2 linked regions of the Oreochromis niloticus genome follow. The protein of the gene in region 1 purifies or fractionates together with the protein of each later gene. This does not show direct contact. Links are inferred from orthologs where the notes say so. Each region holds a gene or a part of one and is shown in the gene's direction. Other genes may lie near its edges.

Evidence for each region. Proteins that work in one complex are often made in the same cells at the same time.
Region 2: the proteins of kdr (region 1) and shc1 purify together in Homo sapiens (affinity purification with western blotting; 3 studies listed by BioGRID and IntAct, with this or other methods). This does not show direct contact. The link is inferred for Oreochromis niloticus from reciprocal best matches to the Homo sapiens genes KDR and SHC1.

The regions. Positions count from the first base shown.
Region 1 is NC_031986.2:37,676,559-37,683,884, reverse strand, and holds the start of kdr (vascular endothelial growth factor receptor 2), read left to right. Parts: upstream 1-4,265; 5' UTR 4,266-4,510; coding exon 4,511-4,577; intron 4,578-5,497; coding exon 5,498-5,591; intron 5,592-7,326. UniProt on the Homo sapiens protein: Tyrosine-protein kinase that acts as a cell-surface receptor for VEGFA, VEGFC and VEGFD. Plays an essential role in the regulation of angiogenesis, vascular development, vascular permeability, and embryonic hematopoiesis.
Region 2 is NC_031976.2:20,859,198-20,867,277, reverse strand, and holds the start of shc1 (SHC-transforming protein 1), read left to right. Parts: upstream 1-5,039; 5' UTR 5,040-8,080. UniProt on the Homo sapiens protein: Signaling adapter that couples activated growth factor receptors to signaling pathways. Participates in a signaling cascade initiated by activated KIT and KITLG/SCF.

The DNA.
Region 1 (7,326 bases):
TTTCGTCCAGGAAAGACAAAAACCTGAACACAGGGTACAGGTTCAAAGTATAGATTCATTAGTTACACCTTACTAGGTGGTCCTCCTTTTACCTTCAGCACTCCCTTAGCTATTTTTGACATAGATTCAACTAGTGCTAGAGATCTGGGTCCATACTGACATGATAGCATCACACAGTTGTTGCAGATTTGTCAGCTGCCCATTTATGTTGCCAATCTCCTGGTTCAACACATATCAAAGAGCTACTGGAGTTAGATCTGGTGACTGTGGAGGCAGTTTCAGTACACTGTCACTGTCATGTTTAAGAAACCAGTTTGATTTGATTTGACTTTTGTGACATTGTGCTGGAACCAGCCATCAGAAGCCATCAACAAATTTCCCACGTGTGGGACTAATAAAGGTTATCTTATCTTATCTTAAGACAGTTCACTGTGATCATAAGGGAATGGACATTGTTATGGCTCCTGGCCTTGGAAGAAGTGAGCTAGCCTTCCTTCAAGCAAATTCAACCGTGACAAATTCAATCCCCCCAATTCAACCGTGACAACACCGACAGACGATTGGCTGTCTGGGAACCCGTGCTAGCCTTCCTGCATGTCAATTCGAATGTGACAATCCACACAGACAATTGGCTGCCTGAAGACCTGTGGTTTGCACCTCCAGGGAGAGAGATCAATCTGCAACCAATTGTGCACACCTGTGCCTTCAAAAGGGCTGAAGAACTTTCATTCAGGGGCTGCTGCTTTGAACTGAATGTGCAGTTTGCCCCACAGTCTGTGAGCCTAGCTTGTGAAACCCTGTTTAAGGTGTGGAATTTGTTTGAATAGCGTTTAGTCATGTTACAGCCCATGAGGCTAGCTTTAATTTCTACTTGTACATGAGCAAGTTATTTTTGTATTGGTTATTTGCCTTGTGGTTTGTAGTAAATGTCGCTATCGGTTTTCAGTTCTGAGTTTTTTTCTGTAAATAAAACTTTGTCTTAACTGATCTCCCTCGTGAGGGTCTCGTTTATGCCACCTTCCCTGTCCCCTAGCAAAACCGGGTCGTAACAGACATGTTCAGCAACAATTCTCAGGAAGGCTATGGTGTTTAAATGATGTTCAGTAAGTGCTAAGGAGCCCAGAATGTTTCATGAAAATATCCGCCATGCCATTACGTCACTCCAACCAGCCTGAACCATAAATGCATTTAGATCAAATTCTGATCCTACTGTCAAAATATGGCAGCAGAAATCAACCAGGCAACATTTTTCACATCTTTTGTTGTCCGATTTTGAGGCCTTGTTAGCCCTTCAGTTTCCCATTTCCTGTCCTAGCTGACAGGACTGCCACACATTGTGGTCTTCTGCTGCTGTGGTCCATCTGATTCAAAGTTCAACATATTCAAAGTTCATATAAGGAGATGCTCTTCTACATACTTGCATTGAGTGCTTTGAACAGCTGCTGTGTTGCTCAAACCAGTCTGACCATTCTCCCCTGACCTTTGTCATCAGCAAGACATTTTTTCCAGTGAACTGCTGCTCAGTGGATATCGGGGGGCATTCTATGTAAGTCCTGGGGAAGCTGGCCTGTGTATTTCAGAAACTGATGATCTGCTGGGAAAAGCTGAGCAGATCATCAGTTTCTGAAATACACAGACCAGCCTCTCTTATTCACAAACAACCAAAATCACTTAAATCAGCTTTCTGCCACATCTGATGCTCAGTTTGAACTTCAGTAGGTTGTAACATGTTTAAATGTCTGAGTACAATGGGCTGCTTCCATGTGATTGATTAGATATTTACTTGAACGAATGGTTGGACAGCTGTACCTAATTAAGTCACAGCTGACAACAGCTGACAGTCTTATACCATTAAGCTCACATTTTATCCATGTATCTCTTTTGTAGATTTTAGTTCAACAGTTTAATGGAGGACAAATTAGCAGTCGCTACTACTACTACTACTACTAATAATAATAATAATAACAAGTATTATTATTATGTTATTGTAATTTTACAGGAAAATTGCAAAATACAGTAAAATATTTTCTTCCACACAACCACACACTGCTCATTCTTTCCTCTCCTTTGCTCAAATGCTTTAAACTATGAAAACATTTCTCTTTGTCTGTGAGTGGGCCAGAGTTCAAAGCAATCACCTCTCTTTGGATTTAGAAAATAAACAGAGATAGAAAAATGGAAAAATGTTTCTGATTCCAGCTTTTCCAGAAGGGAATTCAGTGTAGACTGTCCTCCAGGAAATGATGGTTACAAGGCAGCTAGGCAGTTTAGTATTCAGAGAGTCCCAGTAGAAGTGACCAGGCCAGGAAACATGTGGATGCAGCGCATAACACACAGCCCTCAATCATCTCCCTCAACCCTCCTGAATCCACGCCAGCATCAAAACACAGCCTCCTCCCTCCTCATCAGATGAAGCACTACATTCATCACACGTTTGAAGTTCTGGAAAAATACAAAAATGGGACACAATCTGATGTTAATCAGTTCCAGGTATTACCTTTATCCCTTTCCTCTTTTCAAGGCAGCAGTCCTAATGTAAATGTCATTTGGGTTTGGTATAAGCTGCGCCCTGCTTTCCTGACATGTTTTTGGCACTGTCCCAGATTATCTGTTTCTTTTTCCAAACCTTAACAGATATCTTTGGGCAGGCAATGGAACCTGATCCACAGATATATTTGACCCTGTAAAAAGGCCCAGTCTGTGTCTCTAGTAAAGCTTAATACTTTGATTATTTTACAGCTGTAATTTATTTCCAAGTATTAAAAAGCTACCAGATCAGCATTGGAGGGACATTAGTCATTAGTTAGGTTTAGTCAGTCATACTGCATTTCACCATTACTGCTCCATTTTCAGCCTGTCCCAGGAACTGCAAACTTACATGAAAAAGCCTAAATAGCTTTTTTCTTTTTTTGTGAATAATCATGATGACTAAAATGCCCAAATTGTAACACAGTTGTTACATTACTTAATGTCTGTATTCAGGAATCATGAGATACTTTAAATTCACAGGTTATTAAGGTGACATTAATTCCAGAATTACATGAATTAATTAAACGGTTAATTAATTGTTCTATGAATATCTTAATATTGTTTTATTTGATTATAAAATATCGAGAATTTTTTTTAATGCATCTTCAAATTCATGATAATCAATGCAGTCTTTTGTTACACAGTTAGACAACACCATACTGTATTTGTAAAGAGGGGGACTTCGTATAGAAATGACATTAAAATCATATTTAACCAACATCCACGATATCCATTGTCTTTCTTTTAAGTTCACAAGCTGCAGCACACACAAAGGACATGTTTAAACATTTTTCTAATCGCCGAAGAATACGTTTTCAACTGCGTCTTTAATATAGCGATTTCAGCGCATGAATTAAACCTATTGTACTTTCCACTGTTTCTTGTATTTACAGTCCTCCCACCGAAAACACTGCGCCCAGATGAAAAGAATCGACTTTCCGGTTATGCACCAAAACTACATGCAGTAAGTTTCTGCCACGTGTTTGGCTGATTGAAGATTTGCGTTAGGGAACAGTTTAAAGGGTTTTCCTAACAAAGTGGCTGTTAAGCATAAGTAGCCAGAGAATCACCCAAAGCAACTCCGGCAGGATAAAAGTGTGGAGCAGTGTGATTGTATGGAAGTGCGTAGGGTCTGTTCGCAGGGAGATGTACGCCTCACCCGAAGTGTGCGCGTTTTAACTGTGTTCTAGAAGAAGCGTAAAAAAATATAAAATTATTCTCATTCAACCATAGTAACCTGTTTGTATAAAGGGGGTTGTAGCAATAGTGAATCTACAAGGAAACAAGAATTTAGTTATTATTAGGCCTCATGGCTTTGGTTCTCTGACCTATCATGCTAATGTTGCTTTAGGTCACATGGAGGCGAGAATAAGCAACTCTTGGGCTTCTTTCTACTTTTATGCAGGAGTGAAAACAGGTCCTTAACCCTAACTTATGAACACACGTTTTCTTAATGCTTTTGGTAATGGGATTTTCCTTTTAATAAATTTATAAATTTTATGATTATTACTACTCTAGGAGTCAAAGTTATGGTGTAAACATTTTTACGACTCCTCAGCAGGGGGTTATGCATCCTGGCTGTCACTAGTTCTTAAGTCTCCCAAGTTTCTCTCAAAGTTCAGTAAGTCCTCCCATCAACTGGGCAACAAGCCCAGAAGTTTATTGCAGGCAGCATTCGCCTTGGTAATTTTACAGAGAGTCAGAGAGAGAGACTCCTCCCCTGCAGGCAGGCTGCTCAGCCGAGGCGCGTCTCTCCATCCTCAGCCGCAACAGCTCCATGGGGACACGCACAGTCACACTTTAGCCACTGCTGATCACCATCCACTGCAGGCTGTTTTCATGACTTTCAAACTTTCTCTGGGGTGGAATATAAAACAGCTTTTTTTAATGGATTGGTAATGAGGCAGTAGGATTATCATTATTTCTACAGTTACGTTATTAATTGGACTTTGATGAGGACTTTGTCCTTGTCTTTTGTCGGATGATGGCGCAGACACTGTCCGTCATTCCACTACTGGGCATTATTCTGGAAATCACTTGTTTTGCTGGTAAGATAATAATATTATCCCCATTTAATCGTCTACCTTAATAGCGAATTAAGCTGAAAAACATGAATTATATTAGATTATGATCTAAGTTTGATCTTTTTTTTTCTTTTTCTTTTTTAAATCTGTCAACTCAAAGTCACCCTGCAGTTCTATAAAAGCTTTTGCCGCTTTTCTAAGACATTTCAAACACTTTGTCCTCAGTTGTTCTATAGTTTTAGTCTTTGCTGAATGTTTTCTGTCACTTTAGAACTGCAGTCCAGTTTGAGGATTAGAGGATAAACCTTCAAACATTTAAGCAAAAACATTTGAACTGTGGCCTGATGACTTGTTTTTATGTTGTAAAATGTAAACGTAAAAAGTAACTAGTTTCTGCTGATGTGCTACGTTGTTCAACAGTTTAAACTTTTTTTTCTTCTGAGATCATTAAGGCCCACTTCATCAGCTCAGCTCAACACTTAGTTTTTTCTTTTTTGTTTTTTTTGTTTTTTTCCATACAATGCATTATGTCCTTTAGGGCCTCACAGGGAGGTGGTGGGCAGGCTGTATCCTCAGAAACAGGAACCCCACCTAAGGCACACTGTGCTAGACTATTGAGCCTGACCCGGCCCATCTTCTCCTGCTTCCTGTTTTCACACAGCTCCGCCATTTGCTGCAGCAATGGAAAAAGGGCCCTATGTAGCCAGAGACTCAGATACAAAGCACATCTTATAATGGAGACTGTTTTTTCCTGTGCTCTACTTTCAGTTTTTACCTTGTGCCTTTTGATTTAATCTTAATCTTATGTGCATTTGTTTAAAACAGTAGGGCCATGATCTCTGAAACCTTCATTTAATCATTGTTTGTAGAGACTGATGTCATCACCCCGACTGTGTTAAAAGTTAGTCGTTGCTGTGACTGATTTGTACTGTTAATCTCTCCAGCAGCGGAACTGCGGTTTATATCTGATCCACCGACACTAAATATCTATGGCATCCATAGGATGAACAAATCTGACAGCCTTGAACTAACATGCAGGTATGTAAGACTATGCATACACCTTACAGAAGCTAGTGTTGGGGAAACTGGTTTAACAAACTTTTTACTTCACACCGAAAGATTTGCCAAACAGCAAAACTACCCTAGAACTTATTCATGCCCTCATCACATGCAGCAAATGTATGCGTGTCATTGTCTCTGTTCAAAAGGTGCCTGTGCAGTGTGGGTTCTCAAGAACTCCTCATATAAACAACATGAACATCTGACAGGAGTAACTGTATTTTACAGGAAGACCAAGTCAATAAATGAATAGGATTTAAGTAAAAACATGGCCATTTGATAACATTTTTTAAAAGTTAGGAATTTTTGGTGCTGGTATTCTTTGGCAGCTGTTCACTGGCAGGCTTGAAAAAAGACCTGGTTTTAGGCTTAATATTACAATTAAGGTAAGGTAAGGATTAGACATATACAGATGTGGCCAGGAGTTTCATCCTGGAGATGAATGTCATGCTAAGTTTTGGCTATTAATGATTACACAGCATTCATTTTTAATGATTAAAACAAAACAAAGATAAGGTGCACAATTTTTCAATTTATTTAGTCTTTTCTTTGATCCACACAGTCAAAAGTAAAAACATGCATGCTCAAATATATACGTTGAGTTAAATCTTTTAATAAGAGGTTCCGAAGGTTCTACAATGTCTTTTAACTTTACATGTCCAAGGCCTATTAACTTGTAATCATGATTGACTACAACTGGTAGTTTCGCTAGGCTAGCATAAAAGAGATTTATTTGACAACACTCATTGGACTGACCAAAACTCGGACCAATGGGAAAGCCCAAGGAACTTTGGATTTAAGATGGAGAAGTGTACATTTACACAAGTTTGGAAGGTATCTTGGAGTCATTTCTAAAAATCTGCAGTTTCCAAGATCATCAGTTCCAACAACTGTACATAAACACAAGTTATTAGGATGTGTGTGTGTTGGTTTAGGGTCTGGATGGCTTGAGGATAGAAGCTCTTCTTGAGTCTCTCTGTCCTTGCCCGGATGATGCGGAACCTTCTACCAGATTGTAGAAGTTGGAACAGTTTGTTGCCAGGGTGGGACGGGTCCTTCAGTATCTGCGTTGCTCTAGTCTGGCATCTCCTGGTGTAGGTGTCCTGAAGTGGGGGGAGAGCAATCCTGCAGCAGCGTTCTGCTGTACGGATCACTCTCTGGAGAGCTTTTTGGTCCTTCACACAGCTGTTCCCGAACCACGCTGTCATGTTCTGTGTGAGGATACTCTCCACAGCGCCTGTATAGAAGATCCTGAGGATCTTTGGAGAGACCCTGAACTTCCTTAGTTGTCGGAGGTGATACAGGCGCTGCCTAGCCTTCTTGGTCTGGACCTGAATGTGGGCAGCCCATGTCAGGTCTGAGGAGATGTGGACACCAAGATATTTGAAGGACTGCACCCTCTCCACTGGAGCTCCATTGATGAAAATGGGCTTGTAGTCTCTGTGCTGACTCCTTCTGAAGTCCACCACCAGCTCCTTGTAAAATGTATAGTTTACTAATTTTGCTAATGCAGTAACTAGCGTTCTTCCAGTGTAAACATTCAGCTTTTTCTATTGTCATAGCTCTGAAAATAAGTGTGTAGTTTCAGAGTTGTTCATGAAGTCATCTCTTCTTCCTGTGTTTCAGTAAAAGTAACTATGACTCAAAATTTATTAGCTTCATGCCTACATGAACACCTCCGTTTCACTTTTGATTGTAGAGCAAACTTTCTCTG
Region 2 (8,080 bases), on another chromosome or scaffold:
ATAGGCCGTGTGCGTCTTAGACCCACATAAACAAACACAACACAGACAGGAGGACACAAACTGTCAGCCAAAGTCGTGCGCCTCGGCCACTCCATCACACTCCAGCGTAAACCAAAATCCACTCGATTAAAATTGGATCTGTCCAATTCCCTTCAAACCTCTCAGTCACCGGTAAAAGCTTTCGCCCTGATTGACGGGAGTGTGTGACACTTGATTGTTACAGCGGTTTCAGTTTGACAGCTGTGCACGGAGTCCGTGTGTCTCAGACGCAAAGCCAATTCAAAAATAAAGAATTAGATTTTTGTTAGCAGTGCAAATATTACCGCAGATATTAGACTTGGATTTGGCCTGTGGTGCATCGCTATTGACAAAACACAGTGCTGAGGTGCTAAGCTCTTATAAACACTTCGAGACTGTTGACACTACATACGCTTTTTGTGTGGGTGTCTTGACCTGTGAGGAGGTGTTTTTCTCGGGTTCCTTCTGTCTGGCGTATGTACTGTATCTGTCTGTCTCTCCGACCATGTGGGGAGGGGGGTTGTTTATGTGCGTTGGTTTTTTTTCTATTTCCTGGTGTGTATGAGCGCATTCTGGAAACCAACTGTAGGAGTTTGTTTTTGAGGCCATAGCATGTGGTTGTCCGTCACTGCCTTCATACAATAGAGCCGAGTCTCAGCTGCGTTTCCTCCTGCGGTGCTCAGTCTAGCGCGGCGTGCTCAGTGTGCAGCGCACTGCGTGAGCCACAGTTTGATTAAAATCTCGTCCCGTGCGATGCTAAAAAAACAGAAGTTAGTGCAGCTTCGGCGGAATTTCATTAGCAGCGTGATGGCTGCTGATGGTTTTCCTGAATTCTGTATGAGAGGCTCTAATTGTTGCATTTTTATATGCAGCGCGTTACAGCGGAGTGACTCTGTGGTGCCACGTATCTAAGTTGAAAGTCTGTTTGTGTCTTTATTGTGGTTTCTCTCTCTTTTTACTCAGAAAGCTGAGATTGCATTTTCAAACGGTATCTCTTCTTGCAGATCAGGATTCCTTCAGGCTCGCTTCAACGGAGGTCTTCAGCATATTTTAAAGATAATAATAATAAGCCTGAATGTGCATGCCCACAAAGCAGGCAAAATATGTATATATTTAACACAGTTATTTTCTCAGTTTTAAGTAAAGCTCTTGTACTCCAAGAAACTCCAGAATTTTGTACTATTTGGGGAAGACTCTCTGCTGGGTACAGCTTATCATAATTATCATATTTGATCAATCATAACAAAATCTGAATAAAAATAGAGTTTTCTTCATTTCGGTGAGTAATAATTGCATTTTAAAGGGGATTCTGCATGCTTTATTTCATCTTATTGTGAAATACAGCTATATACCATTAAGAAATGTCCACCAGTTGTCTTTTGCAAAGTTAAAATTTCCCAATAATCACACATTTATGTCCGAATTAAACTGTAACATTTTCAGGCAAATCACAGGTAGCTGAGCAGAAAATGTGATGTTTTTAGATGGAATGATCCCACATCTTACTTCAGCTTATAAAACAGTAGTATTGAAGTAACTCTTTAGGGTCACTTTAGGGTCAAGCTAACATCTCCTAGCTGTTATTGTTTTGTAACGTTGATTATTCTGTGTCTTGATTTCAGTGCAACTCCTCAGCATGCACTCTTGAAGCCACTGGTTAACATTATTCAGATACACTTGGACATAAAGCAATGTTTAAAGAAACAGCAGTAAAATAAATCGACTTGGAAACTTGCTAAAATAACAGTAAAAGCAGCGACTCAGCAACATGTACTTAAATTAGATGACACAGTCTTAATGGGTGAAGTGGTGTGGTTGTCCAGTAGAAAAAAGTTTGAATCAAATTGTGTTTGCACTTTGCTTTCAGCTGTTCGCCCCTGTTTGCTGTGTGATCGGAACTTTTGTTAATTGAGCAAAAGCAAACTGCACAAAGTTTGCAAAGCTATGACTTAAATCCGGAAACATATGTTTGTGTAAAAGAAAAAACCCGACCCTAGTATTTCATGCAAACTTGAACCCTTGAAGAATTTCGATACTCGCTGCTACAGAGGACTAAAAGTTACGCCAGACAATGTTCAAAGGTTGAGCTGGAACTTCAGTGAAGAAACACCGCAGTTTCTGACAAGTAAGCCGTTAAACTGAGAAGGAAGTTGTAAGTGGAAGTTGTAAGTGGAGCAAAGCAGAAAGTGGTAGCAGGAAAGGAATGATGGAAGGAGATAGAGATGTGGGAGTGTGGTTAGAGGAGGGGTGGTGGTGGTGGTGGAAGCACAACCCAAAATAGCCAGCTCACATGTTTGCTGTGTGCGTAGTGAGCTATGAAGCCGAGAGAAAGTACTCCTGCTGAAGCCCCGGCTAATCTAATGTTCACCCTCAGCCTAATTTTTGAAAATTTGATTGCCTTTTTCCAGTGTGCCTGCTTATTTGTGTTTACGTTTGAGACTTTCCCGTGTGAGTTACGCTTCCTCCCTCTCTCCCTTCTATTGTTCATTCTTTACTCGACTCTTTACTGTCTGTCTTGCCTTGATAATAGGAATTGATGTTAGTCAGCATCTCTGGCAAGAATCCAAGAGGAAAATGTCAGCATCGAGGCCCCGTTTACTCATCTTTGCTAATTTTTTTTTGACTAGTTCAAATAAGGATAAGTGAGGTGGGTCAAATCACATTACACACACACATGCACACACACACACACACACACACACACACACACACACACACACACACACACACACACACACAGATATACAGTGTAAGAGCAGACTGCAGATGTGGCCCTGCAGCGTGTGCATTAGATCCAGAGCTCTTTCTTAGTCTGTCTCCGATTGTTTCATCTAATAAATACTGACTAGCTGCAGTTTCCACAGACTTCTGCAGGCGCAGAACACCAAAACTCACACTTGCTAACTCGCACTGGGCAAGCTGAAACACAAACAACCTACACATGCAGTCCTTTGAGTTGATTCTTTTCATTCCACAGGGTATGTTTCAACATGCACAGCGGATTTCTGCCTTTCTCCTTTCACTCTTCCTCTCTCCTTCCTTCGCTTTCTGTTACTTTATCCCTCTGAGTATCGCCCGGCCTCTGCCCTGTGTCAATGTTGTGTGTCTATGTGCTCGATATGAAGAAGGTCCCATGACTCTCTCCACAGCTGATGCTGGGAGCAAAGCATGCTGGAAGTCAAGTGGCTGCAAGGGCGCTGGTTTGAGCACGCTGTAATTTGCTCTTTGATTTGTGTGTGTGTGTGCTTGTCTGCGACTGTGTATGCTGTGTACTGTGTGCTGATGTGCACCTTGGTGTTTTTAGGGCTACAGACTCTCACGCTGCCTGTGCTGGCTGATGGAATATATGGTAAGACATTAAAATCATACGAGCAGCTGATTAAAAAAACACATCGTGCCACGGTGGCAAAGGAGTTGCTGCTTCTAAATTTCTGATATAATATAGAAATGAACAGACTCTCGCATCCAGCCCTGGTGGGCATATGTGTAAAGTAAGCGTTATTTGTTAAAGCACCGTAATTTCAGGGCTGCACAATTACACCAAGAATAAGATAAAATTGCTCCCAAAGATACTGTGGACACATGAGTGATTGTAGCTGGTGTGCAATATTTCACCAATTAAGATGCCTCCTTTCCATTTTCATGAAATTATAATCGAGCGTTATGAAAGTGTCATGTTTCAGGCTTTGATATGAAACAAACTGGAATGTTCTCTGACCCATTTAAAAGGGTTTCCAAGTAGCATATGCAACATAAAACAAAAACCTTATTCAAGAGAGAGAGCCTTCTAAGAAGCAGTACAATGTGATGCAGAAAAATCGCACACCCCTCTTTTTTTACACCTCATTTAATATTGCACAAGTTTTCACCTGCAAGAAGGAACTGGAAAAAAAGTCGTTTTGAAATCGTGCTTCAGTAATTGTACAGCCCTGTGCATGTAAATTTATTGTGGTTTGAATGGGATGTTAACTTTGCTTCCTCTGCAGTTTATTAGTTACACCCAAATAAAACAAATGCAGTTGGAAGCTGTGAGATAAACCTTACATTTTTGAGATAAAAAAAAAACCCATATCTATATTTTCAGATGGATATTTTTGGTTATTTTTGGAGGCTGCGGCTCCACGGAGAAGAAAGTGGCTGAACTGCAGTAGTTTTAGTTGGGTGTACTGAATAAGCTGTCAGCTCAGCGTGATTGCTACCTTTTTAATGTAAATTCAAGATGGCACTTGAACTGTTAATTCACTGAATCTAATAAGGGAGCACAAAATTTCAATTAGGTCAACCCTAAGCCACAGTGTATCGTGTGTTTCACTGGTTCTGGGCGTCTCGCAGGCTGCGGGTGGAGGGTGTCTTCTTCGCCAATCATGCCCGTCACTACCAATCAGATCACTGTGTATGATGACGAATGTTAGCTGTCTGCAGTTTGTCTCATTATGAACCTTCACATCCTTGAGTGCACTGCTTGAGCTCATGATGATGGTGTAGTGGTGAAATTGGGTACTGCGGGGACTCTTTGGGGTGTCATTTGAGGACTCTCTGCTATCCACTCTGCTGGGTTCCTGTGTCACTCTATGTGTGGTTTCCTCTACTTTCCGCAACACTGCCTTCTCATCAGATGCGCTCGAATGTCAAGACCAATCTGTGGGATTTCTGCTTTATGTCTTCCAGTCTTTTCCCCTAGAGTGCTGTAGTCATGTAGTAACATTGGAAATATTTATCATGCGAGTGCAGTCTGCTTTCTTTTTCCCCTCACTTTGTCCACTTACCAAGGTTATATAGAGTGACCTCATGTCACAGCACACAGAGGCTATCTATATCCATCCTTCCCCTCTCTCTCTCTCTTCCCCTCACTCTTTAACTGTGTTTCTCAGGTTACCAAACATGAATAAGGGAGGAGCGTTGAATACCCAACATGAACAGCCCACCCTCCACATGCACACACAAACACATGTATCCACCATCCCTTCCCTTCTCTCCCCTTCCCTTCATTCCTCCTTCCCCATCCCCATCTCCATCTCCCCTTGGAGTGTGTGCATTTCTGAGTAGAAGTGCAGCATCTTGCTGTGCATACACATGTATACTGCTAAATGACTCTGGCTGCAGAGAGAAGGTGGGGGGAAGGGAAGGAAACAGGAAGGAGGTAGCATGGGAGAAAAGAAGGTGGGGAGGGCACAGGCTGTGGCGCGGTCGTGTGTGTGTATGTGTGTGTATGAAAGAGAGAGAGGGAGAGAGAGAGAGAATGGGAGGCAGCATCACCCACCCAGACTGGGAGGAGGGGAGGACAGACAGTGTGCTTGTGCCTCTAACAGACAGACTGAGGTGGAAGGAAAGTGGGGATGAGAGACAGACGTGAGGGGAGAAGAGGAGCACAATGAAGGACTACCATCTACCATCATCCATCCTGGCAACACTGCCATTTCACCATCTGCTGAAAGAGTGAGAGAGAGAGAGAGAGAGAGAGAGAGAGAAAGAGAGTGAGAGGAGGGACGAAACAAGGAGGCAGCCAAACGGAGGAGAGGATAGATGGAGAGGAGCTGCCGGCAGTGACTTTGTGAATTAATCGAGCGGAAGAGCGGATCAGAGGAGAAGCACGTTTTTCGGGGAGTGGACGAAGGGAAAGCTAGGAAGAGGAAGGAGAGGACGAATGATCGGACAGGCTGTGGCCGTTTAAACATTAATGTGGTTCTTATGTGAATACGGAACCTAGCTTTAGGAGAATCACCGTGGATTATCAATTGCATGCTTTATAAACCAAAAAAGGAACTACTTCGGTTTTTGTTTTGTTTTTTTGTTTTGTTTTTTTTGCCATTCATTAAAACACTTAGGGAAATCGATAAGACTCACTTTATACAGAACAGTTTAATTACTTTTTCTTTTCTTTTTTTGGAAATACAGACTCCCTTTGTGATTTTCTATTTTCTTTCCCTATCCCTCATGAGCATAGGATCTACTCTGCAGGATGTTATACAGTCATTCTAATCTTTGTTAGCTGCTGCACAGAATATTCAGGTTGTTTTTATGCAAGTTTTCTAAACATCAGTTGTCTTTTTGATGTTAATTCTTGGTGAAATTCTTGTTTATACAGTTATTAGAAAAGAGATTATTGTTCTTTGAACACAGTGTCAGTTTTACATGCCCTAGTCGGAGTCGGTGCGAGCGACCGACGTCGGATGTCAACATTGATTGGGTTTTATGGCTGGCGCGATGCCGGCCAAACTTTGATCATTTCCTGAACCATATTGATCTTTCTAGGAGTCTGTAGTTTTTCTCCTGTTGGATGAAATAAAAAGAGCTCTAATGTGGAGCCTTTGATGGAGCTACTAATTGCTTGCAATGTGATTTGACAAAGCGGTTATCTCTTTGTCTGAAGATTTCTGCTGTTGTCAGGACTTCTCAGTATATATCCTCTGCAGGCATCTCTTTTAATGTCTGTTGCCATAGCAACGGGCAGCAGCTGCAGACAGAACAAGATGTAAAGTTGGTTTTTCTTGTCCTATCTTTTTAAACTGGTGCTGTGCCATTAGGTAATTGTATATATTTACTAGATAAAACAAGATTAGTCCATTGTTTGTGTCAGTTTTTAGAGTTTTTGTTTCCCTTCTTCTCCAGTAGACAGTCCTTGTCTTTGCGGAGCTCGGCAAGCTCCGGGAATCAGGGTTGTTTCAGGTCACCTGTCTCCCCCTCCCAATTTTCCGTGTTCGCCTTGTACGACTCATCTCCGTCCAGCCTGTCCCGATCTCACATTTATTAATGACAACTACCATTTCCATCAGTCAAACTGATGAGCTCTTATCAGAAATGACTGGATGAATTAGATTACAGTACTGATTTCACTTGTACGTATCACAGCTGCGTGGCCCCAAGGCCACCAATCACCAGTCATTAGCTGTGTTTGTGACAGCCTTTTCCTTTTGCTGTTTGTCTCTAGGTGACTCAGGATTTCTCTTCCTGTAGAGGGTCATCTCCTCTGCAGTCACCTGACCTACACTGTGTTCGGTGCACTAAAACATCCCTGGGAAGAGCCAGGGTTAACTCTGCCCATAGAGCATTTCAGCAGCTCTCTTTTTTTTAACAGCACCTGAATTTCTCTCCAGTGTTAGCAAGTCTACTGAGATTGAATCCTTTGCCTTTTTAAGTGCTATTCTTCTTCTCTACGGACTAAGTTCTGGTTTTATTAGATGTGTGACAGACCTTTTTGTTTAATCTGCATGCTCTTTGACTGTCCAAGTACTGTGAGTGTGTGCATGTTGTGACTTTTCCAGCCATACTACTTTACAGCTTTCTGGAGATCATCCCAGCCTGTCTTGCAGTTCATAAGTATGACTGGATCCTCCATGGTGCTTTCTGGCCAAGACCAGATGGATGACTAGCTAGAATTGCTAGACAATCCCTCTGTGGTGCTAGACTGGTGTAGGCGACTGTTCCTTTGCCATGCATTGAGCGCCCACCACAAGCTTGCGGGCTGTCCTTCAGGCAGAGTGAAGTTCTGAAATCTTAGTGTGAGGAGAAAAAAATAATCAACCTTTTTTGCTTGGCATTACTGAAACGCTGGTGCCACTTTTACAGACTTTTGTATGTGTTGTGGAAAAGGTGGGTGTAAACCTTCTCCTTTGAGGGAGCAAAGGTCAACAGATTGTAAGTATGACTAGTGCCTCAGCAGCACTAAGTTGTAGGCCAGCCAGCCAGCTTGCTGCTGGACTGTAGGTGTAGCTTTGCCTCCTACTGAGGTCAAACTGTGGCTGACTGTTTTAATTGTGGGGCTGTGGTTTGTGAGAGACTGTTAATGTAAACAGACTGTTGTTTGCCTTCTAGATTGGACTATGCAGACTATGAGATGTGAGGTGGTGTCTGTACAGTAGAGAGAGCTTACCTGCTGCTTGATAAGCCCTGCTTTAGATAAGGAAGGAATATAACTCTTGGCTCGTTCATATCATCTGTGACAGTGTCAATATTTTTCTCTCAGGTAAATAACTCTGTCCTGCGATTGCTATTTGAACTAGGCCGTAATAAAGTTACAGGGTGAGAACAGACGTGCATAGAGAAATCAGCCTAACAGCAGTTT